Coturnix japonica: one gene and its partners. The protein of the gene in region 1 purifies or fractionates together with the protein of each later gene. This does not show direct contact. Links are inferred from orthologs where the notes say so. Each region holds a gene or a part of one and is shown in the gene's direction. Other genes may lie near its edges.

Region 1 (3,127 bases):
TGTCTCCAAATACAAACGCCTTGCACGTCACAGTTCAACAAGAAAATTGCTTTGGAGCCCTGGTGCTGAAAACACATCAAAGCATCGTCTCCAAATTCTCAACTTCCCTCCCCCAAAAGAAAAGAAAGCAAAGGAGAAAAAGAAAAGAGAGTTTGGCTCCCACTGGCCTGAAACAACAATAACGATAACAATCTGCAGGAGGTTTCTCCACCCTCCAAGCCAAGCCGTGCTGCTTGCACACAGCTGAGTGCAATCACTCCCCGGGGCTGCAAAAATCGCTGTCTTTTCATTAGGAAACGTTTGCAAAACCTCCTTCAAACAACCTCGCCGGTTAAAACGAAACTATTTGCTCCTCTACAGTTCAAGTTAGGTCTGCGCGGAGGGTCAGCAACCCAGCGGTCCAAAACACAGGCACGAAAGGCGTATTAACATAAGCTGTGCATTAAGACTTTATACGCCTGACAGTAATGGCTCTGCGCCGCGCGCCGTATCAACTCGCAGATGCTCCAGCAGCAAAATACAGTATTTTGGGTGCATCCCCGCTCTGCCCAAGGACAACCGTGAAGCAAGAGGGCACTAAGGACCGACAGCGCTCGGGGTGACGCTTTAACCCAGTCTGTCCCGAACAGCAACGTGCCGCCCTCAAGTTACAAGCATCGCATAGCGCAGCACTCCGCGCGACGCTCACACGGGAGGATCGCACGCGGCTTCACGACGCATCCCCCGCTGCAGCCCAACTTCCCCGGCTGGGGGCAGCCAGTAAAGCTGCAACGCGACGCTCGCGGTGCCACGGCCGCCTCCACCCTCCGGGGAGCGGGATAGCGCCTCAAGGACGGCTTATGCCCCGTTTGCTTTCGCTGCGCGCGGCTCGCCGACAGACCGAGGAACGCTACAGCGGGCAGCCCTGAACCCCCCCACATCACCCCCCACAGCCCCCAGACCCGGAGTTCAGCAACTCCCGACTGACCTGCCGCCGCCACGGGACCGCTAACCTCGCTTACCCCGCTGACCACGGCAGCGCTCCGCAGCCCGGCTTCCTCCAAATGAGCGGGCAACGCCGCGCAAATCGGCGCCGAGCGCAGCTCACGGAGCGCAGCCCCTGCCCGGCTCCTTCCCCTTCCAAAGGGGAGCGAGGACACGGAGCAAACCGCCCCAAATTGGGGACGCCAACACAGCCGCGAGACGGACCGCGCCTGGCGCTACCAGTGCGCGCACCGGGAAGGGAAAGAAAAGGGAGGAAAAGGGAGGGGAGTGCGACGTGCTGCCCCGTCCCACAGCGCTGCCGTGCCCCGCTGGTTGGCGCCGGGCTGCAGCCACCAGTTGCGCTTCCACCCCGCGCGGCTGCGGTACCTCGAGCAGGACGCGATGAAGAAGTGCCTTCTGCAGAAGTCCGGGTGTAAAGCAACAAGTGAGAGCGCGGAAGGAAGGAAGGAGGGAGGGAGGGAAGGGCACGGCGCCTCCTCGGCTCGGCTCAGCCCGCCCCGCCGGTGTCTCCGCTCTGCGCTCCGCCGGCCCCGGCTGCCACCACGCGCCGCGCACGCGAAACGCGATCAGCAGCCCGCCCCGCTCGCAAACACTATTGAGCCGCGCAAGGAGCCGTAGGGCGGCCGCTACCATCCGCCGTCCTGTGCGGGAACGGGGGAGCTCCAGCGCCGCTCTGCATCCTCACGGCTGAGCAAGAACGGCTCGCACCGCCCGTGTCCCCCCGGTGCAGTGGGAGCGGCCGTAGGGCTGCGCTCGGGCAGCTGCAGGAGGAAGCGGCGCTGTGCGAACCATGATCATCCCGGTGCGATGCTTCACGTGCGGCAAGATCGTGGGCAACAAGTGGGAGGCGTATCTCGGGCTCCTGCAGGCGGAGTACACCGAGGGGTGGGTGTCATATTAACAGCACACGCTAATACCTTGCTTTAAACTAAGCTCAGAGCAATCATTGCGTTGCTTAGGAGCACTTACGAGCGGTTCTGACTCGTTTTGTATTTATTTCTTTTAATCGTGTTGTTATTTGTTAATAGAGATGCCCTGGATGCCCTCGGATTGAAGCGCTACTGCTGCCGCAGGATGCTCCTGGCACACGTGGATCTGATTGAGAAGCTGTTGAATTACGCACCGCTGGAGAAATGAGAGTTGATTGACCCAGCCACCAGCTTCTCCCAAGGAAATAAATGAAGGCCGACATCCACTTCACAGCTACAGCTTACATATGTAGATGTTTCTCTTTAATTACATACAGGTTGTTATTGGTTTCTTTTTGTGAACTTTAGGATGCTTTTGCCCGTAAAAAATAAATGTGTTTTATGAAATACAATCATTTGTCTATGTAAAATGTTGAACTAGAGGAAGCCTCTGCCTGTGGCCTTCCTGGAGTTGCTGGGTAGAGTTCAGCATACACTTCCATCTCACTATTTCCTCACAGTGGTCATTTTGAGGTTAGAAATACAGTGTTTGAAGCTAGGGCAATCAAGGGGGGTTAGAAAGAGAGCAAAGTTCCAGGCTCCAGAAACAGCACAGAGGATGTTTGTTTGCTATGAATGAGGCATTACTCTTAGTAGGTTGCAGTGCTAGCGGAGCTCATTTTTTCACTGAAGTCAGCCTATAGTGTCTTGTTAAAAATTGGGGCAGACTGGCAGCTCCATCACAGAAAACAGTAAATCAGGTGGCGCAGTGCTCCTCACTTAGGTAAAATACATCTGAAGGCAATGGATGTGAGAATTAATGCATGTAACTGTGAACAGGATCAGAGTCTTGCCAAACACCTGCACTGCTCTGTTGCTGGTATGAGTGCAAGCTTCCCACTTGTCAGTCATTTCATTGGCTTCATATAGGATGTATGTGCAGCCTGGGACTGCCTGGCCAAAACAACCCACCTTTCCACTGCTTGCTGGATCAGACTTCTCTGCTCAAACCTCAAGAAGAGATTGTCTCAGAAAGAACAGTTAGAGGACAGCCAGCCTCTGGCTATAGCTACTACCCTACCAATCTCTACACTTGATCTAACTTTTCCATTTATTACAATGGGATAGTGGCTAAGTTTTCTCATATTCAGCAGTTCTGCAAAGACACTAAAACCACATACTTCAGCCTAATGCAAAGAGAATTAAGCAACTCTAGTATCCCCTTCAGTTTGCGG
Region 2 (4,727 bases), on another chromosome or scaffold:
GTGTTGTGACATCTTTTAGGAACTTCTTGTCATCATCTTCCATAGAGAAGAGGCCGTTTGGTTGCTTGTACTCTACTAGAAACACCTTTGTCACAACAGCACTCTCCCTGCAGTCCCTGGAAGTCAATGATCACAAAGTTCTGAACATGCCATAAAACCACATGCAATGAAAAGGAAACCACGGGGGAACACGGTTGATCGTCTGGAACATCTCTTCCAAGTTTGCAAGTCATTACTTCAGTGAGTAAGCACAGTCCTGGGAAATACTCTCAAAAACCTCTGCTTTGTTTTGTTATTATGTTTAAGTTAGTGTGCACACTAAGAAGTTAACAGTAAAACATACGGATGGATACTTTAATTCTTCAACATCTTTTACCTGTGAAACTAACTCCTGATGCTGCTGTGTCTGCTTTCTGGAGTAATTAGTTTGCCAGCATTGCAGGCAACAAAGGGCAGTCAAGCAGCAGACAGCACACTGTCAATTTGATATATCAACTGTCCTTCTCTTATCTACCTTCTCTACCTTCTCACTTGCTAAATTACAGCAGTAACATTAAAATGCCACAAATGTACAAGCTATTAATTAAGAATTTGCTTTCATTCCAGAGCATCAATTTGGTGCACCTGGAAATGTCTTAATAAAACACTGGAAAGAACTGTTAATTCAGATAGTGATATATGAAAATACCTTCAGACCTAGGGTTTGCATGTCCTGCACAGGGAATATAATGTTGTCATATTCCAATGCAGATACAAGCAAAGGCTACATGCAGGTGCTAATAGTGGGGAACAGATTCCCAGCTGGACTGGGGATTCCTTGTGTGTTCTTCTAACCATGAAGTTAAGATGTCCATTCTAAAACAGAACTAAGTTAAAGCAGGATACTTACTTGGTAACTGCAAGAGCCTTGACTGTTATTTTCCCGACTGGTAACGTGATAGGACTCTTATACTTAAAAGTGTTACGCTCTCCATAGCCAGGCTTCCTAAAAAGTTCTGGTTTACTTCCATCTAAAGTGTAATAAATAGAGACCTCAGGTGTATCTGAACAACACAGAGAAAGTAATTAGCCAAACTGTGCAGGAGCTGGAAAAAAACACAAATATCTGTACAACCCTGCAGATACTCAGCACTGTGTGAGTACTTGACTTTCTCACATAAGCACAATGAAGCAATTGCATAAAAGTTCAGAACCAAAACCGTTTCTCCCATGAAGAACTGACACTGAATGGCTGCGATGTCACGATTAGCAATATTTCTCTTCATAAAGTCACCGCACGGTGGTTTTGCAGGAAAACACTGTTCTACCAACAGATAAACCATCTCCTCTGATGGCAGGTGGAGTTCCTGAGGCCAGTTACCTGCAGCCAACACGGAGGCTGGAAGGCTCAAACGCTTTGAGAGGAGGTTTGACAGAGGCAAAGCCGCAGCCCGTACCTGACTTGATTTCCACCCGGGTGCCGCTGTCGATGCGGTGCTTGGCCTGCCCTGGAACAGGGACCCGGAGCGGAATGAGCTGCGGCACAGACACGGAGCCCGCCGCCATCCTGCTCTGCGATCCCTGAAACACAACAACAACAGCAACCACAACAACAACCACAACCACCACAAAGCAGGCGGTGTCGACAAAGCCCACGCGTCCCGTTACTCGGCAACCGGCACCGGCGCGTACAAATAACGTCATCTCAACGTGCCGCTCAGTAACCGATCCCCTCCGCTCCTGGTGACGGCATCTCCCCGCGCAGCCCGGCCCGCCGCCATGGCGGAGGTGAAGGTGAAGCCGGAGGTGCCCGACCCCGTGGACATAGAGAGCAGGTGCGTTGGGACGGGCCCTGGCCCGAAATCATCGGGAGAGGCTTCGTGGTGCTGGGGAGGCGGGGAGCGGTGGGTCCTGGTGGGTCCTGGTGCGTTGATGTTGAGAGCAGCCCAAAAGTGAAGTGGAGCAGCAGCGCTGTCAGAAAGAGCTGAGAAGTGGTTCTTCCTGAGCTGCTCTTTCCTTTCCGTCCCTGCTCTGATGGCCTTTCAGGTGGCTGGTTTTGTGCACAACGGCCTTTGGTTCATAAACCGCCTCATTCCTCCCCCAGGATCATTGAGCTGTGCCAGCAGTTCCCTCACGGCATCACAGACCAGGTGATCCAGAATGACATGCCGCACATGGAGGCCCAGCAGCGAGCCATGGCCATCAACAGGCTGCTCTCCATGGTACGACGTTCCACACCCCTTCGAGCTGCTTCATCCTGAGGCTCTTGATGTCAATGGGCTGTTGTCAATGGCTGCGTGGTGGCACCCAGCTGGGCAGGGCTGGGAAGTTCATCTTGGATTTAGTGTCATTTGCCAGAACTGGCAGTTTTTGCAGCTTAATTGTGGTTCTCACTTGTGACCACCACAACCACTTATAACGGTCACCATCATCTATTAAAACATACCTCAAAATGTAGTTTCCATTCTGTAAGATAAAGTTAACACCTGTTGTGTGAGTGAGCAGCCTCCATGAGGCATCCTCAAACTTGGCTGACACTTTTCCAGTTATCTACAGAACTGAGAACATAACCAACAAAATAAGAGCCCTCATCTCTTCCACTTGTGGAATTGTTCAGTGTTCCTGTCCAGCAGAGCTCTCACTTGATATCTGGATGCTCATATGAATGAGCACTTTGGTGGGAAGTATACAAGAGCTCCATGTCCCAAGGTGAACGTTAGGAGAAACAACGGGAAGTGCACCAGTGTTGTGGGGAGAGGCTGGAGCTGTGTTTGTTATTTCTGACAGCTAATGATAAATGCATGGTCAGAGGGGAAGAATAATATCCTCAGGGTTATTGTTGTGTCTAGCAGTTAGAAATGTTGTTTTTCCCTTTTCTGTATTCAGCTGATACAAAGTACATTTATTTTCTTTACAAGTTAAGGAGATTTTCTTGCCGTGTTCTGAAAAGAAGCTGTTAGAAGGGAAGTTAATGTGCTGTGCCTGTTTCCCACAGGGGCAACTGGACCTTCTCAGGAGCAGCACAGGTCTCCTGTATAGAATCAAAGAGTCTCAAAATGCAAGGTGAGCCTTGTGCTTACGCAATCAATATCTGAATGCGGTTCTGCAGCTGATGTGCGGCGTTGCTGAGAACACAGCAAGGAATTTAACATGGGCTCTGTAACAAAGATATTACAGAATTTACTTGCTTGATACGCTTAACCCCCCTGAGCCAATTCTGTCAACTGTTGTATGATTCCTGCTGCACAGACTCTCCCATGGGGCTCCAGCTGTAGCTTACTAGTGGAATTCTTCATCTGGCAAAGTGATCTCTATGAGCAGATGCGAATGCTCAGATGAAAGCCAGCTGAAGCTTGACCACACCATCTATAAGTATCGTTCTGTGGTCTTTTCCAGCACTTACAGCAGTTCCAGAAGGCCGCTTGATATGTTGTTTGTGCTCTTTTATTTGATTTATTAAAACATGCCTTCAATAAAGTCGTGTTTTGCGATGTCTGTGTGGAGCTGAGTAGGAGATGCCTGGATTTACTTCTAGAAAGAAACGTCCTTCAAAATTATCTTCCATGCAGGCATCTCAACTTCTCTTTCCACTGCATTAGAAAAAAACCTTCTAAGCTGAGGCTTTCTGAGACCAGTGAGAAGGCACGTTGTAGAGCCTCTGCTGTCCCCTTGTTGCGACAGTTGGTCCTGAATTATGTGCTGAGTGTTTGACCTTATGCAGTTGTGTTAATATGTGACTCCAAACTTCTCTTTGTTAAGAGAAGTTGAGTGTTTCCTGCTTACCCTCATTTTTAATGACTAATATTATTTTTTTTTTCAACTGTGCTGTTTTCTCTTTACTGTGGCTTTTCACTGGCAATCGCAGAATGATCCACAGAGGTTTGGTGTCATGTATTTTATTTGCCACTGGCTGGTTTATTGTGTGGGGCTTCTTTTTCCCTTTGTGTGTTGTGGTTTCTGTTCATAGTATTTGTTTTTGGTTTAAAATAAATCCACCCTCTTTCAAACTTCAAACTTACCCCAAAAAATCCCGTTGTCTCTTCTACTCCACAGTAAAATGAAAGGCTCTGACAATCAAGAGAAGCTGGTTTACCAAATCATAGAAGATGCAGGCAACAAAGGTAGTTTAAATAAATTATAATGGGGAATGGTAATAGCTTTGTTTGTGGAACTTTTCCTGTCCAAACGTTTAAATTCTTGTCCAGGCAATGCAGATATCAGATATAGAGCACGCCTAAGTCTGTAGCTAATGTTCCACGTGCCACTTATTAAAAACAGAGGAAGACATATTTCTCTATTAAAATAACAAATTATCTGGTCTGACCTTTTGGGACCTCTTTCAAAATATGAAGTTTCAGAATATGAATTATGGCTTATTGATGGGACTGTGAAACTGGGGAATCTATACAAAATACTCATCACTTTAAAAACAAAATTCTGTGTCTCCTGGATCTCCTGTGAGGCCAAATGTTGTGTACATGTAAGAGCTCCCAGAGATACAGATGGTGACTGTGCTGTGAGGTTTTTCTTCTGCTTTGTCAGTTGATTTTTATTTCATCCTCTTTTTCCCATTCCCTCCCTTTTGCTGAGGGTGGTAGGATTGGAGATGCAGCCTTTGGCTGGCAGGCAACATTATGACTTTTGGCTTGTTAATCCTTACAGAAACAAATACCTGGTTCTCCTAATTAATTCTGTTCATTTCTGTGCTTCTTTAACAGGTATTTGGAGCAGGGACATCAGATACAAAA
Region 3 (4,930 bases), on another chromosome or scaffold:
ACTGTCTCAAGAGAGCAGAACTTTTCACCCAGGAAGCTGCGGGCATTTCTCTTGCAAAGTCCACTGTTAAGCTGCAGCTTAATATTAAATGATGCTTTGGTTAATGAAAGATGTAAGCCTGCCTTAGGCAATAATGTTGATTTAACCATTGTAGACCCAAGTCCAAGGCCCTGGATTATCTCTTGCTGAAGTCACAGACCAGAACTAGAAGCCAGGACAGTTACAAGTTCATTATAGAAAGCTCTCATTAAAGAAAAAAATGTGCATTTTATAGGCACTTATTCCAAGATTTTAGAATTTCAATAATACAAGCACTTAAAAGCATGATATTTTTCTTTAATATAAAGAACTTCAAAAGCCAACAAAACCTTAGTTGAGCACAACTGCAATCCTTACAATTCCCTGCATTTGGAGTCAACCATATAGAACTGGCTTCAGGAAAGAGGGGATTCCTCACTTTAGAAGTCAATGCAAGAAGGTCCCAGTCGGTTTTGTTGTTCCCAAAGGTGTGCTCACAAACCTTGTCTCTGGAGGGATGGTAATGAAGTCACGGCAGCATATGGCACCGCCGTGTTTGCTCCCAAGTGCACAGCCGCTAACCGGAGCCATCTGATGCTCCCCCTAAGCTCCCTGATCTGCGGTGGGATTGAAGCTTACAGCAAAGCTTCGTGGAGCCCAAAGGAAGACAATGGTTTGCAGACACACAGAAATCACTCATTTACTTTAACGGGGGCCCAGCTCGGATCTGGGTCTCTGCTGAGCAAAAGCTCTGATGCGTTTACGAGCAGGAGTGCATTTCCAGAGAGCATCAAACACGACCCAAAGCCGATCCGTGTCATTTTCCCGTCGCACACAGAGAGCAACGAGATCACGTAATTAAAATAGGAATTAAACGAAGCTCGGGCGTACTTAATGGTGGATTCCTACAGCAGGAAACAACCAACGCCCCGCACCGGGAGCGTGGTCACAGGAGCCCCATGGGGCCGAGCAGCCTGTCAGTGCCATAGCACTCCCTACCCGCTCGGCTGAGCACCAACACACAGCGAGGAGCAGTAACACGGCACGCCTCGGGAAAGTTCACAAGGCGCCGCACTGCAAGTTTTCCAACCGCACCTTCGGTTTAAACGAGAGGGGAGAGAAAAGAGCAGCCTGGCATCGATGTGTGCGCTCCGGCGCTGCCCACAACTCTCCCTGCCCTCCGCCCTCCCCAGGCAGCGGTAACGCGACTCCGGAGTCACGGCTCCAGCACAACTCCCCGAAGCGGCCCGGCGCTGCTCTCCCCCTCCCGCACTTGTTGCGGCCCCGCAGGCCCCGCCGCAGGCCCGGCCCTGTCCCGGGGGAGGCCCCCGCCCCGCGGAGCGCAACGAGGGGCCGGGCCGCCCCCAGGGGACCGAGCGCGTTGCGGGGCACGGACTTACCACGGCGGCACCCGGCTCCTCACGGCGGCAGCCGAACTCCGGGCGGCCACTCGGCGCGGCGCCTCCCTCCCCACCGCCCGGCCCCGCTCCCCGCCTCCCCCGGGGCAGCGTAAGTGACGCCGCGCTCCGCCACTCCGGCGGCAGCCCCGGGGCGCGGGGCCGGGCGCGGGGCCGGCTCAGCCTATGGCGGAGCGGCCGAGGCGGGACGCACCGCAGCCCCGGGCCGGGAGGGACCCTCCGCCCTACGGAGCGCAACCCGGGGCGGGGCGGGGCGGGGCGGGGCGGGGTGGGCAGCGCTGCCGCCAGGGCTCCATCCCCGCCCCGCCCGGCACCGCCCCCTCCCCGCCGGATCCGGAGCTGCGCCTGCTCGCTCCGCCTCGAGGAGCTGGGCTGAGAGCGGCTATGGCGTCTGTGTCAGCGTGAGGAGCCGGGCTGTAGTCTGCCATGGAGGAGGATCTGGAGTTGGAGAGGTGAGGGGCGGCCGTACTGTGCTGCGGGTTCTCCTTCGCTCTGGGCTGCGCTTGTAGGGCCAGTGAGGCCTTGGGGCTGGTCCTGTGTCGGCTCCCGGCCTGTAGGGCCTGGCTTGTGCGGCCTGTGCTCGGCCCTGAGCCCTCAGCCCATTGCTACGCATCTCTGCGTAATGCGGACCGCTCTTGTAATGTCATTTATACGCGAGAGATTTAAAAGTCGTATAAATGGGTGGTTAAAGTTATTTGGTTAACGCGTAGAGGCTGAACTTTTTGCAAGCAGCTGCATGGAACTGTTACAGCGAAGTGATGGCTGAGAATCTCATGGTTCCGTCTCATAACTTTTAAGAAATGTGTTTGAGAGTGCTGATGGGAAGGCCTGCTAAAAAGGACCTGGGGGTACTGCTGGATCACAGGCTAAACATGAGCAGCAATGTGCCCTGGCAATCTAGAAGGCCAACCTGTGCTGCATCCAAAGCAACATGGCCAGCTGGCCAAGGGAGTGATCCTGCCCCTCTGCTCTGTGCTGGTGAGGTCTCACCTGAAGTACTGGAGAGACATGGAGCTGTTGGAGCACATCCAGAGGAGGGCCACAGAATGACCCAGGGGATGGAATGCCTTCCTACAAGGACAGGCTGAGAGAGCTGGGGCTGTTCAGCCTGGAGAAGAGAAGGCTCCAGGATGACCTGAGAATGGCCTTTCAGTATGTGAAGGGGGTCTATAAGAAAGAAGGGGACAGATGCTTTAACAGAGTCTGTTGCAGTAGGACAGGGGGATATGGTTTCAAAGCAAGAGAGTGGAGACATAGATTGGATGTAAGGAAGAAGTTCCTTTACAATCATTGTGGTGAGGCACTGGCACAGGTTACCCTGGGAGGTGGTGGATGCTCTGTCCCTGGAAGCTCTCAAGGCCAGGCTTGACAGGGCTCTGATCTAGCTCTAGATATCCCTGTTCATTTCAGTGGGTTGGAGCAGGTGACCTTAAGGGATCCCTTCTAGTGGAAGTGATTCTCTGTTAAGTCACTTCTTTCAGCTTAGATCTACCACATCTTTGAAATGAGATACGTATGATGCCACTGGGGTGGTGGGGGGGATAGAGAATGTAATGCTTTCCAAGAAGCCTTAATTCTTGGTAGGGCACTTCCTCACTCAGATCATCAGTTTAATTATTAAAGCTTCTTTCTATATAGACACAAATGCTCTTTTTGTTAGTGCCACTCCAAACCTAAGCACTTTTTGCTTGCAGCCAGTGCTTTGTGTTTCCACTTCTTAAAGGGAGCTTATAAGCAGGAGGGAGACTAAAAGTTTTACACAGGTAGTAGTAGGAAAATGGGGAGCGGTTTTAAACTAGAAGAGAGAAGTCTTAGGTCAGATATTAGGAGGAAATTCTTTACTTAGGGAGTGGCACGTCACTGGCACAGGCTGTCCAGAGGTACTGTGGGAACTATAACTATTTTTGTATGTGTTTTTTCAGGTCTGAAGTAAGTTTTGTTTCTTAACATTCCAGACTGGGATCTGCTAAGAGAAGCTACTTATCTATAGTTGTTTAGGAAGAGTCTTCATCCAGCTTGCCTTGTTTTTCCATGTCTGACTCATGCTTCATCTTGCATCTGATGCTTTCTTCACTTCATAGGAGTCTCTGTAGAAGGGGAATGCTCACCTGCAGGTTACAGTGCAACTCTTGCATAGTATGGATTTAAAAAATAAGGAGTAGTCTTAAAATCAGTGAAATATTACTGTTCACTGCATTTTACTGAGTTATTTCCCATTTCACCCAATAACCTTTGTTGGAAGCATAAGCTGGTGTTTTTTCCTCTGGTATGTCAGTGCAGATCCAGACTGTAAGCCAGAAATATCTTGTGATCCTAAGGAAATTCTGGGATTAATCCTGTTAGTGTATAATGATGATGTTAAGGTATACCCAATAGTCACTACTATAAACCTTATGGATCAGCTACCAGAGGCTGGTTGTTTCTGCTATAAGCATGTGTACTTGCTTTTGCTACTTAATTTCTACTGCATATCCCCATCTCTTCCTCCCCCACCTCCCCTTCTAAATGGTCTCTGTGCTTTGTGTCTTTGTTGGAAGCACAGGGAGAAAAAAAAAATGAGGTTTCTCTGACAGTGTAAAGGAAGAGATTTTATATTACCATGTATCAAAACTGTTCTATAGTCAGATCTGCCTCTCATTAGCTATAAATATTTCAGAATCTTATTAGAATTGCCTACCAAGCCTTCTTGGAGCATCATCTCGGTAGTAAGTGTTTCCTAAAGGGGATACTGTTCTAAATTCCAAGACCATTACTGGGTTTAGTAACAAGAAGCCTCTTGTTGAGTTGAGAATTCATAGCCATCTTGCTGCACAGATGTCCTAATTACACTCCTTAACAAGTAAGCTTTGCACCTTGGTAAAATTAATTGACATTTCTTGCTATTGTTTTTAACAGTAAAAATAGAAATGTCGTAATTAGGTCATTATTTCCCATTTTTTCCCTATCTCCTATGGCAAAAATTGGTCTGCAAGCTGATATTGTTTCAGATTAGATTAAGTGGTATCTTCACTGTTGAGAATATCAGCGTGGAAATGTTCTGAAAATAGCACTTATGAGACTGACAAATGGAATATTTAAACAAGCTACAATCTTGATCTACGAAAGATGGTTGTGTCAGCATGCCCCATGTATGTTCAAAGGCAAAGATGCTCCACATTGAGAACTTTGGGGTGTATTTGTGCCTTAATTTATCCTTGCTCTGAGTGTTCTGGCTTAGGCTTCTTTTCTGGCATCCTGATTGCAGTAAGTACTTTACCATTGCAGTTCTTTGAGGTCTTGAATAATAAGATGATTACATGAATGGCAGTGGCAGTGTTAGTGAACTTTTGTGCTTGTGGAGGTATAAGGGCAGCAGGAGGCCCTACACACCACCTTATTCCAGCTCCCCCATCCCTGGTGCCACCAACCCACAGGGCACCAGAAGCCCAAGGCCAGGACAGGAGGGATGAGCACCTCCATCTATTGCAGTGACTCAGTGCTGCAGCACCTTTGGG
Region 4 (3,858 bases), about 1.1 Mb from region 1:
GGTCCAGGAAACGGCCCGGCCCTTCTTGTCAATCTGTGGGCGACGCATGATCTCTGTCCCTCCCTGGAAGAGGATGAGGGTGGGCAGCTGCTTGGTGAGGGGCGAGGTGCTCACCTTGTACCTGCAGGAGTAAGGCAAGAGGCAGACAATGACATCAAGGCACTTGGAAGGCCTGGTACCTTCCTCTACCCTCTCGGCCCCACAGACCTGGTGCTGACATCCGTGTATCGGCCAACATCCACCTTCCCAAAGTGCAGCCCCGAGCAGTTGTACCTGGGAGACAGAACACAGCTCTGAGTGAGCACTGGGCTGGGACCGACTCAGCAAGGCCTCAAAAGCAGGCAGCACTCACTTGAGAGAGAGGTCAGCGAAGATGGGGGCAAAGGACTGGCACTCACTGGACCAGTTGGCGAAGAACTCGACGATCCAGGTCACCCGCTTGTCTCGTTCCAGCTCCTCCTGCCACGCGAGTCAACAGGGGATGGTAGGCAGGGAGCCCGGCACCCCACGCCAACTCACACTGGGTAGGAGATACTCACATCTATGGTCTTATCGTTGAAGTACTTGATATACTCAGGTCCCATGTAAAGGGGTGGCTTGCAGGTCATCAGGAACACTGCAATAACAGCATCCCTGAGCCCAGCGCCCACCTGGAGCGAGGCCTCTGCCCCCTTTTTTCCACTTCTGGAATGCCCAAGAGACACAGGCTTAGTCTGAGGGAGGCTCCTCCTTCCCCAGAGCAGCCTGTATGGCTACAAAGACAGCAGCAGCACAAGGCAAGATGGCTCCAGCCCCATTTGAGGAAGGCAATGCACAGGATGGGCAGAGACAAGGCCTGACAGGAGCACTGTTACAGCCCCTGCATTACGGATCCCCCCCCACTTCCCCACGTGTCTCACCGATGCAGAGCGTGAGGTAGAGCAGGCCCATGCGGATGTCAAGACGGAAGAAGAGGATGGCGTTGGCCACTTTGCTGAACATGAAGATGTTCCCAATGTGCTGCTCCACAGTGACTGGGAAGGAGGGAAGAAATCAGAGATGGGGCCACGTCTCTTTTCACTCTCATCCCTCAACTGTTTCCAGTACAGAGACACCCCATCAGCAGCTTATACTCAACCCAGCACTGCCCCAACTCACTGGAGCGCCGGTTCTTCATCATGACGATGGCGCTGAGGAACATGAGGATCTCCACCTCCCGCTGCACAGGAGAGAAACGCAGTGAGCACCGTGACAGCCACAGCCACAGCCACAGCCACAGCCACAGCCAGCACCTCGGGCACAACCGAGCAGCCCTGCAGCACAACCACAAGGCCAAGCAGCCATTCCAGGCCGCTCCAGCCTTCATCCTCCGCCTGCCCTCGATCAGGAGCCGGGGCTGCGCACAGAGGGGCCGCCTCGGCTGCACCCAGCGCCGGTGATACCCGAGTAGGCCACGGCACAGGCCGGCCCGGTGCTGCCGCTCACCCAGTCGAAGTCGCAGGGGTTGCCGTCCTCCCGCTGTGAGGGCAGCCCGCGGCACAGCGGCGGGACCTTGCGGACGAGCAGGAATGCGGTGGCGAGCAGCGCGGACAGCGGGTAGTAGGGCCGGGCCAGCCAGCGGCACAGCCCCGGCACCGAGTACAGCAGCGCCAGCAGCGGGGCCAGCACCGCCATCTTGTCCTCCGGCCGCCCGCCGCGCTCCCATTGGCCGGAGCTGCACGTACGTCCGCGAGGGGCGGGGCGGCCCCGCGCGGGGCAGGGCGGGAAGATGGAGAACTTCTCGGCGCTGTTCGGCGGGGCCGAGCCGCCTCCCGCCGCCGCCGCCGCCGCGCTGGGCTTCGGGCCCAACAAGGGGCCGGGAGCGGGGGCCGCTCCGCCTCCAGCAGCCGCCGTGCCGCCGCCGGGAGACGACGCGGCGCGCAAGGCCGCCACCGGCCCCTTCTACCTGCTGCGGGAGCTGCCGGGTGCGGGCCGGGCCGCGGGGGAGGGGGGGGGGGCGCGGGGCCAATGAGCGGGCGGGACGCGCGGAGTGACGGCTCGTCGGGCCAATGGGCGCGGGCGGTCCGGCGAGGGGCGGGGCGCTGAGGGTGCCGGTCCGTCCGCAGGCGGCACGGAGCTGACGGGCAGCAGCAACCTGATCACACACTACAGCCTGGAGCACGCGTACAACAAGTTCTGCGGCAAGAAGGTGAAGGAGAAGCTCAGCAACTTCCTGCCCGACCTGCCCGGCATGATCGACCTGCCCGGCTCACACGACAACAGCAGCCTGCGCTCCCTCATCGAGAAGCCGCCCATCTGCGGCAGCTCCTTCACGCCGCTCACCGGCACCATGCTGACCGGGTTCCGACTGCACGCCGGCCCGGTGAGCACCCGGGGGAGGAAGGGGGGATGGGGGTAAGGAGGGGGTCCGCTGACATGAGCCCCTGCAGCTGCCGGAGCAGTGCCGCCTCATGCACATCCAGCCGCCCAAGAAGAAGAACAAGCACAAGCACAAGCAGAGCCGCACGCAGGACCCTGTGCCCCCAGGTAGGACCGTGCCCTGCTAACTCTGCACCCCATGTGTCCTGGTAACTCTGTGCCCCGCTCACCCCTCCTCTGCTTCCTGCAGAAACCCCCTCGGACTCAGACCACAAGAAAAAGAAGAAGAAGAAAGAGGAGGATCCGGAGCGCAAAAGGAAGAAGAAGGAGAAAAAGAAAAAGAAGGTAGGTTAGGAGGCAGCGTGCTGCTCTGCTCTGCCTGCACCAGCCCCGTGCCAGGCCGCGGCAGCACCACACGTTAGGCCTCCAGCAGGGCTTGGCACTGGGTTTCACAAGGCCTCACGCCTGTCCTTCTTCTGCAGAACCGACACAGCCCCGAGCACCCCGGGGTGGGCAGCTCGCAGGCCAGCAGCAGCAGCAGCTTGCGGTGAGGCTGCGCTGTGCTGCTCTATGGAGCTCCCTGCCCCAGCTGTGGACTCGTCCCATCACAGAGCACAGCGGGGAGGTGTGGGCACTCATGGTCCCCGCTTGCAGAGAACGTGGCCTTGCAACCCCCCTGCTTGCACTGTGTGGCTGATGGGGACCTGGTGACGCGGACGCTGCTGGAATGGGGGCTCCTACCACACCTAAGCAACGTGGTGCATTGGGATCTCACTTTTTTATTCACCTTTTAATTAAAGTCTGCTCTGAGGAAGAGCTGGTGCCAGTGGCGGCTCTGACTGTTGGCCAGCGGGGCAGGGCAAGGAGCAGAGGCCTTGTGCCTGTCCCATCATACTCCAGGCCTTGCAGCTCTCTGGGCTGTGAGAGAAGGCTCAGGAGGACACAAGTGACCCCAGTTCAGCACCATGTCCCCCAGGGCTGCCCCTGTGGGGGCTCCTACAGAAGAGCCAGAGCCTCACTGAGTCCTGGGACATGTTCCAACCCTGACAGCTCCACTTACCTGCACTGAGAGCGCTGTGCCCCAAAGTGCCCTAAGGAAGCACATCCCAGCTGTGAGGGCGCAGGCACTGGCAGCCCTGTAAGGCTGGGCCCGGCTCTCCTTGTCCCCTTCCTTTCCACTCCAGACGAGGGAGGGAAAGCTGAGAAGTGAAGGACAGGATCCTTCACGGACTCCTCCATCCCTGGACACCGCACAAAGCACACGCATGCCCGCTGAGGTGACTCATTAAATATCCTTTTATTCCTCGTTTTTAAAATGGCTAATCATAATAATAAAAAAAAAAACAAAAAACCAATGGCATGGCTCTGCGGAGGCCACAGGAGAGATATTGCCATAGAGAAAGAGTCAAGTAGTGCGTGAAGTTGCGTGGGCCCGGTGCGGGGTGGGCTCCCCAATGGGGCTGGGGGTGGCGGGGCAGCACTGGGCTCCTTGGCTGCGTTTTTTGGCATGTGATGAGAAAA
Region 5 (4,279 bases), on another chromosome or scaffold:
CTAATGTCTAAGGAGATACAATACCAAGAGAGCTGCTGTAGTACGTAATTCAGTTAAAACTGAATACATTACTTATACTGAAAACGTGAATTAAAAGGAAAGTTTTATATAACATTGTGACAATCTTGCTGATGAAAGCATGTCATTTTAGGTGCCAAAACAGAAGTACAGGATTTCAACAAAAACTAACAGAGTTTACGATATTACTGAAAGAAAGGTATGGTAACAAGCTGTTTTTAGAATGTATTTAATATTGTCTCCACATCACAAATGCATTTTGTAACAGCATTCATATAATGGACTGAATCACAACTAATGCATGTGTATCTCATGAAAATCATTTTCATAAAGTAAGTAGTGTGTTTCCATCTCCAAAATGTTAAGAGTCATATTGAAAACTAAAAAAAAAAAAAGTTCTGCTGACCCTGAATGTTATTGCATGTCTTTTAAACTGTATGGCCATTTTACAGGGTTCAGAATTGCTCTTCGAGTGTTTTGGTGCTTTATTTGGTTTTTTTTAGTTATTACTACTGAAGATGTCTTTAATCATATTTTCCATCGTTTATTTCCAGTGCTTTTGCAGCAATTTTTGCTACAAAGCATCTAAATATTTTGAAGCTCAAATTTCCAAGAGTCCAGTATGGATGCGAGAAGAAGAAATGTAAGTGTGACCTTATGTATTTGTGGCTCATTTCAAGGATACTGTTTTCTTAGTCCAAGCTGCAACGCAAATTAATTAGTTGCAGTACATCCAAATGGTCAGGCTGAAGCAGAGACAAGTGATGTTAAGTTAGTGTGTTGTTCATGTTAAGTGTTGCTGCCACATGGATTACTGTAATTGATGCAGCCCAGTTCTGGTAATGACTACTCAACAGACTTGACTGTGTTAGTTTAGAGGGCAAACTAGTCTTAAATAATAATGAGTTCCTATTAATTTTAAAATGTATTTATTGTGATTGGATTTTTACAAGCCATGTAAGATAAAGGAATAATCCATCTTACCTTGCAAGAGGTTTTCAGAGGTTAGCCTGAAAGTCTGCAAAATGAAGTTCCTTATTCCACATAAAACTGCTATTTTAGGTTGCCTATTTTCTGTTACTACTGCAACACATTTTGTAAGGGTTACATAGTCTGTGCTTTAATATATTAAAAAAAATTAGGAAACATAGGTGTGCAAACAAAGAATTGAGCCACTGGGTGTCACTGCTCAACAATAAATACTTGCCTAGAGAAGGTTCAGCTCATTCCATTTTCATTGTCCAAGCAAGTACCCTTGCTTTCAACAGAATAAACAATCTGAATTTATATGTGTGAGCTCAGTTTCATGGTAGGAGGATTTATATGAAACACAGGTCAGTGAGAGGAGAGGCTTTAAGCAGCCTGATCTGAGGAATTAGGTAAAACTGTAAAATATTTAAATAAGCTTATCTGCGTATTCATGGTATTGTTTTGCTCTCTCTAAAGAAACTATTTCTAACATCTCTGTTGTTACCATAAAAAGCGGAGTTCTGATGTTTGACATAGTTAATTATCCATGCTGGGATGGGCATATTTTCCAAAACAAACCAACAAACATAATAAAGTAATATCAGATTGCATAAACATTATATATGCACACACTGATACACATTTACACGTGAAAATACCTGAAATTCTCTTGATGGAGAAAGCTAAAAACCTCCATTTAAAACTTTAAAGAGTAATTATTTGGAATTAATAGTTTCACTGTCTTACCACCTTTACTTTCCAGACTCAGTTCATTTATATGAAAAATGCAACTTTCATCCTTTTACATCTGCTATGTTGGTTTTTTTATATATATACTGTCCAAGTTTAAGGAGTTATTTCATTGACTTACATTCAGGGCATGCTTAAAAGGTTCTCTGTCATTCGTAAGGCAGGTATGGATTTCAATAGCCAGTGTTGAATAAACTAATTAGCATTGTGATGTTACCTTATAACTGAAATGAAGCAGAACTGCAGCTAGAAATTTGGGAAGAAATCCTTCAGAATCTGTTCAGTAACAGTTCTTAGTGTTTATGGAAACCTTCAGATTCCATTTTCTTAGCCCACTATAACTTAAGAGTCTATTTTTTTTAAACAAGTAACATCTCAAATGAAGATATCCTGAATATTCCTATTTCCTATAACAATTTGGAGCATTTTTTCTGCAAACTACTGAAGATTGTTTTTCCTATAGAGACCTTGTGAGCTATGAGGATCTGAGCATGTTTAGTTCGAGGAAGAGGAAACCAAGGGATGATCTAAAAAGTCTACACTTATTGAAAAAAATTACCTAGGCTACAGACCCAAACTGTTCTTGGTTTCTATCAAAAAACTTAATGAGTTTGTACTTTAAATATGTTGGCCATAAATTATGGTATCAGTGGTTTACATTAACACTGGGGAAAAAGGTGTGCTCTAAGAGAGCAGTGGAACAAATCAGTGCATGCGGAAAGGTTCTGAAATCTCAATCCTCAAGATTTAAACATAAAGAAGGTGTGGCTGATCTAATCTACTGCTGGTAACAGTCTCACTGTCTCAGTAGGTCAGATTGGAGCCCTCCAGAGGTCCTTTCTAACTAACATTTATATGATTTGATAAGTTATTAAATGTATAATGCTACAGGCCCGCACAAATTATGCTCTGAATGTGAATGTATGAACCTGCTCCAGCTAACCCTGCTTTGAACAAAGGATGTTGGACTAAGATCATTAGAGGTTCTTTCCAGCCCCAACTATGTGTTTTCTGTGTTTGTGCATTTCAAGGGTACTGATTTAGCAGAAAAAAAAAGTCATCATTCCTTATGTTCTTTTTGCAGACCATCAGACATAGAGCTGCTGAAGAAGGGGCAGAGGTACATTGAATAATAATTTGTTATATGCATTTATAGTTAGAAATATTAACATTATATTGGGGAAAGGGCAAATCTTTGAAAAGACTTTATTAGACAAAGGGTTATTTGTCTTATTTCTTTTCCTTTGTGATTCTAAACTAGCGTGTTTGACCTGTATGATTTAGTGTACAGCTGCTCTTGGCCTATGTGTCATAATTGATCCTGCTGAAATCTGAAACAAATACACTGTTTGTACTTTAAATATTTTATACCATCTATTCTTTATGAAGAAAGTGTACCAATTATAGGTGATGAAAACTTCTGCACTTCCTATTCTAAAACACCAATATCAGCTCAATTGAATTCACGTTACTCTGTCATCTCTCTGTACCTTGCCGCATATGGCGACTTTGTTTTCTTTTGGAACATCCAGCCATTAGATGGCAAACTTAAATATGCCAAAAACAAGCTCTACTGGCCTACTGATTTACAGTTACTACGTGTATGTGTATATTGAGATACTGATCTATATTTTAAAATGGAAATAGTTTAAAATTCTTCATACTAAATTGGAACTTAAGTCTGTCTTTAGTAACAACTTGTTTACTATTCTAACTGCCACTAAGCATCTGGGAACAAATTTCTCTAAATAGCATTTAAACTTGCCATCTTAATTGCAAAACATTAGAACTCTGAGTTTAAAGATGATTTCTAGAGCAAAAAAAAAAAAAAAAAAGTATACACTTTCTATACAGGAACAAGGTTCCATTTCTCTTTCTTTTATATAATAATTTTCTAATCTCACGTAACATCCATTTCATACTTCATTGATGGCTTGTGTTTTGTGTTACAGTGGCCAATCTGGAGAAGAAGTGAAAATATGTGATGAAGTAGTTAAAGCTTCTGACATTGAAAATCCTAAGGTATCTTCAACTCCGTATGAATCTGCTTCTTATGGCACAGCCAGTGATAGCAGTAGTGATACCGAACAGGAATTTGTTTCTTCTGTTCTACCGGGAAGTCAGACAAGTTCAGCCAGTCTTGCACAGCAATCACACAGAAACAGCATCCTCAAAAAGAAGCATGTTCAGAAAGTCTGTTACAGCTCTAAGTCTGAAGGCACAGACATGGTGGAAGTCACTGAACGACTCTCTAATTGTAAATTAGATGCTCAGGAAGAAATGCATGCTTGCACAGTTCAAAATAAAATAACTGCGACGCCCTCAAAAAACACTACTCCAGGAGAATCAAATGCTTCTGAGAACTGTGAAAATACTCATAGCAATTCACAGATAATCTTCCTGGGTGTGAGCAAAAAAGGAGCGGAATACCTTAAAACACTAGTTAATTCAAAACAACATGAAAAAATTCAGCTGGGGGATCCAGTTCCTTTCTCGGCTGCCAAACACAGTTTATTAGAACTGCTTAAGCAAACACTTACGG
Region 6 (4,279 bases), on another chromosome or scaffold:
ATTAAGTAGAACTCATTAAATAGATAGTTATTTTTAACAGCCTCTTGTTCTCAGTTTCCTCCACAGACTGCTGCTTCACCAGATGAGCTAAAGGTTTATGCACTTTGGGAAGCCGGTGACATTTATGATCAGGTAAAGACAGAAATAAGTGATGGTCCCAAACACATTGTTACTGAGGGTTTGGCATTGCTTCACTTTGCATTTCTGGAAGCAGTACAGCAGTTTTTTCACCGTTCCCTAAGGAAGACTCAGAGGTTTCAGTGCCAGCCAGCTTCAGGCTGAGAGAAAGCTCGGGGTGGTTGTCACCATATCAGGAACAAGTTGTTGGGAACAGAAACTGAGACACTGGTAACTAAGTGGCATGTAGATACTATTAATTGTATGAAGAGAGAGGTTCCGTGATGCAGGTCTTAGGCTGGGATCCAGTCAAATTATTTTTCTTTTTTTACTAATGGTAATGCAGTGGTAATGCAGCAGTAGTGCAGTGTTAACCAGTGGTTATATGATGATGATGGAACATGGTGTATCTGTTTATATTTAGAAAAGGAAATGATTACAGCATATGCAAACATCTCCTGAGTTTTATTTCTATCACAGTAAGTGAAGTGGATGGAAAGGCATCTTAACAGAATGTGGACGGGCAATGTAACTGCTGTGCCTGTGACCTAAATAATTGTTTATAGGAAAGTCTCAAGCATTGTTCTAGAGAATAAGCAGCATCCGACCTCCTGGCTGGAGCAGACCACGTGAGCTGCCTGGGAAGCGCGTGAGAGGAAAATGTCATAGTCCCTTCTTTAGTATAGGTTTGTACCCATGGGGGCACCTGGGGTCACAGGATGGGGCAGATCTGCTCATGAGACATGGAGGGATCCCTGCAGAGCTGCAAAGTAACGGGAGGACACCTAATGAGAGCAGGCTGAAATGGGACAGTTTCAGGGTTACAAAGCAAGAATACTCTATTGAAGCTCAGTGAATGTTATGTACGGATTAATGCACAGATGGTTTGTTTTATAGAAAGTTAAAAGTAATTGTGTGTTAATGATTCTTTGTCTAAAGCATCGCCAAGTTTTGCTTGAAATTTTTTCGAAAAATTATCGAGTGCGCAGAAATGTCATTCAGAATCAGCTGAGTCAAGACCTGAACAAGCAGGAGGTGGATAGAGTGTTAAAGGTAAGTTCTGCTCACTTGGGGTTTTGATTCAGTTAACGCATGAATTTTTAATGCTTTGGTTTAACTGAAGGATCATGTATTGCCTTGAGTTGACAAGTGATGGTAGAACAGTCGCTGTGGGAATGCAGGCAGGGCTTGTTTATCAGCCTGTTTTCTTCAAAGTAACACTCGTCTCATTCTACCTTGTTTCTCTCCAAAGAGCAGTGATTTTGACTCCCCTGTTATTTGGTGTTATTGCAGCAAATCTTTGTTCTTCCCTTTGGACCAGAAGGGAATAGAGCACAGTAAATGTCATACTTGAGAGTTATTTTTAAGTAATATGGAGTTAAGCATTAAGACAGTGGGAGTGTTCTGTGTTCACTGAGCTGACTGTTGTTGTTTCATGCTGAAGAACACAGGTGTCAGATGTTCAGAAGGAAATGCATTATATTCTGTAGTAGGACTTAAAGCAGTGTAGCAAGAAAAACCCCAAGCAAAACAAGTACAGAGTCCTGCTTAGCACATCTCATAGTGAATGTTTGAGTCCTTTCATCTCTGCCTTTGAAGATGAACCATTTACTTTCTAAACAAGTTTAAGGTATGAGGTATGGACCTCGCAGGCTGTGATTGACAAAGGAGAAAGCTGCCAGCTCATGTAGTACTTCAATCACTGTTGCTGGGCCTTTGCTCACCATCACCCACTTCAGTGAGACAAGTGCTTAAGTACTTTATTACTCTGGGATCTGTAAGCAGAATAATAACCTACTTGAAAAATTACACATCTCTTGCTGTGATAGTAAGCGAACTGGTCTTGCTTGAATGAACCTGGTCTTAGTATTAAAATAAGCTGAGACGTTTCTGCCTGCTATGCAGTGTTTGGTTTGGCTTGCGTGTGCTGGGAGGTTTGTCAGGCTCAAATAACAGCTCTCTGGGGATGTCTCGATAATGCACTGGCATTTGTTTGCACATTGTTGTTGGTGTTTAACAAATAAATTATTTCTGGGAAAACAAAAAAAAACCAAAACAACAGTTGTCCTTAACAAACCAGGTCCTGCTTTTGTAAAATCTAAGTCATTGCACAGTCAGCCTTGTGTTGTGTCAGACTTTGTCTTGAATATATTTGTTACAGAAGCATGTGAAGCTTTCATTGTTCCTGAAGAAAATGTTGAAAGTATGATTTGATGAAGTAGGGGGATTATCTGGCTGCGTTAAACCATGGGAGATTTGATTCTACTTTGAATGAAATAGCATCTGTTGACTCTTATTTCCCCATCTGCATGTGCTCCTGTCCTATATGGGAAAGAGCAGACTGACAGGGAGTGTATTTTTGCATCTGCAGATCCAGAGTGAAAAATCTCTTTTGAGCCTCTGCACATTATTTCTTTGTAGAACATTTGGCTGCAAGTCCCAAGAATTAAGAACTGATAGTTACTGATGCTTTTTTCACTTATAAGTTCCTCAGCATCAGTTCTGTAGCAGTACTTCCTCCAAGCTCCTGTTGAATTACCTAAGTGGGAATGATGGAGCAAAAGGAGCTATTAGCTTAGAATTCATGAGACTTAGCATTCATTTAATAGAAATAAGAAAATGAACCACAAGAAACCTGACTTACTGAACTCCTTTGCTGTGGAGCTTGCAGCTGTGAGTGTAACAGACACGGTCGGAGCACCTTAGTACATTTCTGAGGTTTGACCCTTCCTTGCCACACAACATTGCTGAAAAGGCTCCATCTTGGGGCAGCCTGTTTGCTTCCTCTGCTCCCTTCTGTGTGTCCACATCTTCAGGCTGCACTTACCCTGCAGTTCCTCTGGCTCTTACCTCTCCTCCTGTCCTAAGCTGCTGCACCATCCTTCCCATCTCCTCCTCCCAAAAACCTTGGTTTCCTGCCGCCATCCCATTGTGTATCCTCTCCCTGTGCTCTCAGCCTTTCCCCCTGTCTGCTGTCTTAAGCTTCAGGGCAGAGCTGACCTGCAGCTGGCTCACATTTGTGCACTGGAGGATGTACTGATCACATTTAAGGCTGTGAATCCCAGTCATGGTTCCCAGTGGGGTACACCTTGTAGTGTGTAGTCCCTGCGGTCTGGAAATGCAGGGCAGTGCTGCAGGCACTGATGGGCTCTCCCTTTCTCCCCAGGACTGCTGTGTGAGCTATGGTGGAATGTGGTATCTTAAAGGGACTGTGCAGTCTTGACGACAGCTGTGGCAGTTTCTGTGCTTCAGATGCTCTCCAGGATGAAAGAGGAAACCTGCGGTGGGCAGCACAGACATGGCCTCAGGAGTGTGGGGCAGGAGCTGACCTACTTTGGGGCATGTGGCATTGCAGACAGTCACTGACATTTACAGCACACTCACACATAAGTTTGCATGGCTGCCTGGGTGCAGAGAGCAACTAGGAAGACAACATGGGACCCTGTCTGCAGTTTGATTAATCTGGGATTTCTAATGTATTTTGCTTCTCCTTCTCTTTCCTTATAATAAAATAAAACCATATACTGACACAGACATGATGGAAAATCATGGTCTAATATTTTATTTTGTAAGTAAGTGATGCCAATAAATTAAATTTGTTTACAAACATCCCAGGTTTTGCTCGATACCTACATGCTCATGCATTAGTCTGAGCATTACAACAGCCCTTGCTGCCTTCCGTACAACAAGGGTAGTGATGATTGTGGGCACATCAGAGAGGGGGGGGGGATATAAAATCACTGTCTTTAAACATTGTATGACATAGCAACTGTTCTCACCTGGTGTCTGTAAAATGAACTGTCTGAAAAAGTACTTACACTTGAAATAGATGTGGAACAACTACTGGATGTCTTATTGATGTGGGTTTTGGTTGATGGAGTTTTTGCCTTACTATGTGCAGAGGTAAGTGCACCGTGTGCAAGGCATCCAGCTGCAGATATCACACTTGGCAACAATGTAAAACCTCTATTTTGTGTAACTTTTTTAAAAATAAAATTTTATCTTGAAGGTCAGCTGTGGCATCCTGCTGTACTCTGCCTTCTGTTTGCCCAGGAAGAAATGGAAATGATCTTTGCTCCTTTTAGAGCCCAAAGGCTTACAGAGGAAGGAAAGGTAAAGAATATTTGCAGGAGGTGTTTGAGGTAGATGGCAAACTGCCTGT
Region 7 (4,279 bases), on another chromosome or scaffold:
TCAGCTAAGAATAGCATTAATGTCAGGAGTATGTGAGAAATTGTTTGTGTTTGAGCCACTGTACTTCAGAGACATTTAGTTTTGGTTACAACAAGTTCTGTTGTTACTTTCTGCAAATTTATAATCTTTTTCCCCCACTTCCCTACCTCACACCTCCCATAGCAAGAGCTGACAGACCGTATCTCACTATGAGCTATTCAGAACCAGAAAGGAGAGAATGTCCCCATGTTCTTTTCCTTAAAGTCCATGCAGTTATATCTCCAGCAGAGTATGAAGCATTGCAGGGTCCGGCAGCAGCCTTTATTAACATCACTCCAGAGGAAATTGCCAAGAAAACAGAAGAGAAAAGGTAATACTTCCACAAGCAGCCTTTTAATAGCTAAGGCTGGCATTGTGAAATCGTGTTTCTTCTTACAGGCAGGATGGCAGCTGTAGCCAGCTTTACCAGCTCTACAGTATGGGTAGTGATAGTCTTCAGTCTAAAGGGAAGGCATCAGATCATGACCCAGTGTATACCTTTGGGAAGTGTGGAGGTTTAACTTTATGGGAGAAAAGGTGCTGTGCACAACAGTGTGGCTGTCCTCTTGGGAACTGATATTACAGGGGAAGAGAGGGAGTAAATCCAAAGTGCAGGATGAAGGAAAATACCTAGATATGGGACCACAGAGCTGTGCTAAGGATGATATTCCTGTGGCCGAGCATTGTCCATGCCACATACTGTCGTAACTGGAAGTTACTGTAGCTTTGCAAATGGACATGGACTTGTGCTAAGGCCTGGTGCTGAAGTAAGCAGGTAAAGCAGAAGCCACAGCTCACTTTCACTGCTTCCCATCTGTATCTAAGCAGAAGTGTGTGTGCATGCGCACACTCCATGGAGTACTTGTGGTTTTTGCAGTGCAGGGACTTGTGTAGTGCCACATGCAGAAATGTTCTGACTGTGGTGGACAAAAAGAAGAGCAGCATTGTGAGCTTTCTTGTATTAGTGTTCAGGGAACTATTCTAACCTAGGAGACCTGTGCACTGAATTTAAGGGTGTGTTCTAATCAGAAAGCTAGTCCCTGATTCTCTGGTCCTCATGCTCCCTCTTTCCTCTTTAGCCATTGCTCCTTCGTCTTAGAAGAGCTGAAGTTCCTGCCTGCTGATGAGATGAGCAGGGATCACAAAGCTCGATGCCTCTGGTTCCTGGACATCCTTATTAAGTTCAGCTTCCTAAAAATCATCAAGAAGAAGTGTAAGACAATTTTCAACTCTTACCCTTTTCAGCTGCCTGTTGGGACTTGGCTTGTAGTTACCATAATAGCAAACAATGAAGCTTCCCAGAGTTACCTGTTTGATAAACAGCTACATGCAGCAGTTACAGTTCAGCTTGTTTCATGATGAGGTTCAGCATTTCCGTGCCATTGTGGAGTTTTAGATCTGCACCTATTGGGATATACGTGTGTCATTCTCTTCAGTCCTTTTCTAACTGTCATAAATCGGGGTCCTGAAGTGAGATCCTAATTGTAGGAGGTAAAATAGTTTAAGATTAAGATTAAGTTTGAGATTCTTTTTTTACTTACTGACAGTTTTTGGTTCTTATCCCAGGAGGCAGGAAACTATCAGTGCTCTCCCTCATCTAGACTCCATTTTTTAGCTGCAAGAGGCATGCAGTACACAATGCAATCTTTAGGTGTTTTTGTGCTGTCTTTGTGTCAGACTTGGCTTAGTATCTCAATGTGTGGATGACAGTCTTCAGAATGTTTCTTATAAAGTGGCAGGAACTGCTTTTCTCAAAAGCACTGCACAAATGTTTTGATTGAAGTTTACAGGACTTGCTGTATTTCACAGACCTTGTGTTTCTGTTTCTTAAAAAAATTCCAACGTTACCATTTTCAGTGTCTGGGAAGATGGATGAGGAAGGTAAATCTGTCTGTAAATATCTTTCTGCATTGGTGGAGACGCGGGGTCATCCAACAAGAGTTAGTCTAGGAGGCTTGAAATGGATATAAAAATAACCAGTCTTGGTGCTCACTGTGAAACCCCTTTCTATTCTAGATCCAATGGGTCCTGAATGCCCGCTCATCATTAGCAGGAAACTTATGAAAAACTTCACTTCACTGACCTACAACAATGGCAGGTAAGGAACTGTGATTGCTTTGATGTTATTGATGTTCAGATGATGTAGAAAACAGCTTGAAGGGTCACAGAGTCTTTATCAAATAGCACTGCACCAAAACAGGAATAGCAGAAGCTTCTCTTGAGTAGCAGGCCAGGCCAGGTAAAATATTCTGTTGTGACTGATGTTCATACATGAATAATGTAAGTCTAAACCGTAACTGGGAGAGGCAGAGTCATGTGCTTAAACAAGCCTGTGCCTGTGGATTTAGCCAGCTTCACCTGGCTGGCTTGATCAAGAGTGAGAAGACTTGTAACTTGCTACAATGCCTTTCCTTGAGAATCCAACAGCCTCTGCACAGCCTAACTGCAATTGCTCAGCCATCATATATCTGCTGTTTGCTGTGAAGTGGAGGTTCACAGAGAGGTTGAATCCATGTGGGCCAGCGAAGGAGCATTTGTTTATAAAGACTCAGACCAGAGGTGAACAGTAAAAATAAATGCTTTCAGACCTGCTCTGTTGTGTATGGTTGCAGTGAGTACCCTCAGATCAGCTTCATCTTGCTGTTGTCTTGCCAGTGTGCCAGAGAGACAGAAGTATCTGCAGACAGTGATTTAATCAAATCTGTAAACCTGTAAACATCTTGAGAGACCTGCACTTTTGAACAGAAATATAGGCAGTTGGTGAGGAAGATCTTGAGGCCCCTGTGATCAGAGATCTGTGTTTCTTAAAGCTCTTTTTTCATGTCTAGGAAATGCTTGTCATAGCTAACTGGGGCTCCAGTTCTGTCTGCACCTTGTGGGTGGTTGTGTTTTGGGTTTGCTAACTCTCTGCTTTTCATCTGTTCTCACACTTGCTGTTCAGTGTTCAGAATTTAATCTCTGCGTCGCTGAAGACTAAAATTGCAGCATATGTCATTGCACTGGCTCTGCACATTAAAAACTTCCAAGTTGACCTCACTGTCCTGCAGAATGACTTGAAGCTCCACGAAAATAGGTGAGTCATGTTCGCTCCTGCCTGTTAAGATGCCTGTGGTCCTCATGCAAGCAGTCCCTGGGGAAGAAGGCTCTGGATACTCTTCTGTGCCCAAATAGTACAGTGATACCCGCTGTGAGTTCCCTGTGTTGCAGTTGGACTCTGAGTGTGTTGAAGTTTTATATTCAGGCCCTGCTACGTCTAATGGGGTGGTTATACGTGTCAAAGCTTTGAAAGAGTGCTTATCACAAAGCTGCTCAGGTGTACTGTGAGGCTTTTTGTCTGTTTGAAAGTGGAAAAACTTGAGGCAGGCAGCATCAAAATGGCAGAAAACCTATCCAGGTACTACCCAGTGCTGTTTTTTGCCTGCTAAGTCATGTTGCTCCTCACTGAACTGTCCCCTGCATCCCTTCTTTCTGCAGAGATCTGTTGTCAGCTAGGTACCAGTCTGGATGCAAGTACAGATTTGTATCTGACTGTAACTGGAAAACTAGAAAAAGATTTTCTTTCTCACAGGCAGATTGCGAGCGTGTAGTTGCTGTTCCTCCCCAGATGCAAGACTTCACAATTTAACTTGATAAGATTCTGCTCGCCTTACCTCTTCAGTTTGTCAGAGTCTGTCTGGATGTCAGCGTAGCCCTCTGGCACTGGGAGGAGGAGCCAACTCAGTGAAGATAAATGGGTGGAGAACAGTGTGCAGTATAAGCATCCAGGCAAACAATGCTTGCCATGATAGATTTTGAAGAAATTTCTTCCTAGACTTAAATTTTCTGTGGAGAAATTACTGTTCATCTGCTACGTGATGTCTCTGTACTGCTAGCTGCACGGATGTACTTAAACCTGCAGGTTTGAGGCAGAGCCTGACAGCTCCTCTGGCAGTGAGGACTCCCAGCAGACATTAGCTGATCAGGCAGCTTGTTATTGCTATCTGGGAGTGGGTCAAGTTGCCCTGTTAATAGCTGCTCAGCTGTGTGTGATTGCTGTCCCAGCCTTTCCTGTTCTGCAAGATGTGCTGACTCTAGAGACATTTGCTGCCTGACTCCACTGCGTTGATCTTTCCCATCAAGGTTGTTTAGAGGTAATGCAGCTGGGAAGAAACTGCAAAAGGACAAAATGCCTTCAGTTCCACTGAAAAAACATTCTAGAATATGCTGGGGCTTCTCCTAAAAGGATTTAATGTCAAGATTCTGGGATAACTGGAAGTTATCG

The links.
Region 2: the proteins of POLR2L (region 1) and POLR3F purify together in Homo sapiens (co-immunoprecipitation; 3 studies listed by BioGRID and IntAct, with this or other methods). This does not show direct contact. The link is inferred for Coturnix japonica from reciprocal best matches to the Homo sapiens genes POLR2L and POLR3F.
Region 3: the proteins of POLR2L (region 1) and protein POLR1D purify together in Homo sapiens (affinity purification with mass spectrometry; 4 studies listed by BioGRID and IntAct, with this or other methods). This does not show direct contact. The link is inferred for Coturnix japonica from reciprocal best matches to the Homo sapiens genes POLR2L and POLR1D.
Region 4: the proteins of POLR2L (region 1) and MED19 purify together in Homo sapiens (affinity purification with mass spectrometry; 3 studies listed by BioGRID and IntAct, with this or other methods). This does not show direct contact. The link is inferred for Coturnix japonica from reciprocal best matches to the Homo sapiens genes POLR2L and MED19.
Region 5: the proteins of POLR2L (region 1) and RPAP2 purify together in Homo sapiens (affinity purification with mass spectrometry; 3 studies listed by BioGRID and IntAct, with this or other methods). This does not show direct contact. The link is inferred for Coturnix japonica from reciprocal best matches to the Homo sapiens genes POLR2L and RPAP2.
Region 6: the proteins of POLR2L (region 1) and POLR3E purify together in Homo sapiens (affinity purification with mass spectrometry; 4 studies listed by BioGRID and IntAct, with this or other methods). This does not show direct contact. The link is inferred for Coturnix japonica from reciprocal best matches to the Homo sapiens genes POLR2L and POLR3E.
Region 7: the proteins of POLR2L (region 1) and POLR1E purify together in Homo sapiens (affinity purification with mass spectrometry; 3 studies listed by BioGRID and IntAct, with this or other methods). This does not show direct contact. The link is inferred for Coturnix japonica from reciprocal best matches to the Homo sapiens genes POLR2L and POLR1E.

The regions. Positions count from the first base shown.
Region 1 is NC_029520.1:8,951,462-8,954,588, reverse strand, and holds POLR2L (DNA-directed RNA polymerases I, II, and III subunit RPABC5), read left to right. Parts: upstream 1-1,691; 5' UTR 1,692-1,774; coding exon 1,775-1,869; intron 1,870-2,012; coding exon 2,013-2,121; 3' UTR 2,122-2,305; downstream 2,306-3,127. UniProt on the Homo sapiens protein: DNA-dependent RNA polymerase catalyzes the transcription of DNA into RNA using the four ribonucleoside triphosphates as substrates.
Region 2 is NC_029518.1:13,402,617-13,407,343, reverse strand, and holds the start of POLR3F (DNA-directed RNA polymerase III subunit RPC6), read left to right. Parts: upstream 1-1,661; 5' UTR 1,662-1,758; coding exon 1,759-1,814; intron 1,815-2,083; coding exon 2,084-2,201; intron 2,202-2,974; coding exon 2,975-3,042; intron 3,043-4,032; coding exon 4,033-4,100; intron 4,101-4,697; coding exon 4,698-4,727. UniProt on the Homo sapiens protein: DNA-dependent RNA polymerase catalyzes the transcription of DNA into RNA using the four ribonucleoside triphosphates as substrates.
Region 3 is NC_029516.1:157,556,733-157,561,662, reverse strand, and holds the start of protein POLR1D, read left to right. Parts: upstream 1-1,747; 5' UTR 1,748-1,862; coding exon 1,863-1,888; intron 1,889-4,930.
Region 4 is NC_029520.1:7,805,364-7,809,221, reverse strand, and holds MED19 (mediator of RNA polymerase II transcription subunit 19), read left to right. Parts: upstream 1-1,724; 5' UTR 1,725-1,747; coding exon 1,748-1,943; intron 1,944-2,084; coding exon 2,085-2,341; intron 2,342-2,408; coding exon 2,409-2,505; intron 2,506-2,587; coding exon 2,588-2,682; intron 2,683-2,819; coding exon 2,820-2,888; 3' UTR 2,889-3,153; downstream 3,154-3,858. Other genes in the region: TMX2 (thioredoxin-related transmembrane protein 2), read right to left, coding at 1-121, 208-273, 353-459, 540-616, 900-1,013, 1,138-1,198, 1,465-1,653. UniProt on the Homo sapiens protein: Component of the Mediator complex, a coactivator involved in the regulated transcription of nearly all RNA polymerase II-dependent genes.
Region 5 is NC_029523.1:12,306,361-12,310,639, reverse strand, and holds part of RPAP2 (putative RNA polymerase II subunit B1 CTD phosphatase RPAP2), read left to right. Parts: intron 1-151; coding exon 152-217; intron 218-572; coding exon 573-661; intron 662-2,821; coding exon 2,822-2,857; intron 2,858-3,689; coding exon 3,690-4,279.
Region 6 is NC_029529.1:8,348,646-8,352,924, forward strand, and holds the end of POLR3E (DNA-directed RNA polymerase III subunit RPC5), read left to right. Parts: intron 1-40; exon of another isoform or gene 41-54; coding exon 55-132; intron 133-1,056; coding exon 1,057-1,170; intron 1,171-3,283; coding exon 3,284-3,340; 3' UTR 3,341-3,726; downstream 3,727-4,279. UniProt on the Homo sapiens protein: DNA-dependent RNA polymerase catalyzes the transcription of DNA into RNA using the four ribonucleoside triphosphates as substrates.
Region 7 is NC_029547.1:66,739,808-66,744,086, reverse strand, and holds part of POLR1E (DNA-directed RNA polymerase I subunit RPA49), read left to right. Parts: intron 1-252; coding exon 253-349; intron 350-1,097; coding exon 1,098-1,231; intron 1,232-2,034; coding exon 2,035-2,116; intron 2,117-2,959; coding exon 2,960-3,091; intron 3,092-4,279. UniProt on the Homo sapiens protein: Component of RNA polymerase I (Pol I), a DNA-dependent RNA polymerase which synthesizes ribosomal RNA precursors using the four ribonucleoside triphosphates as substrates.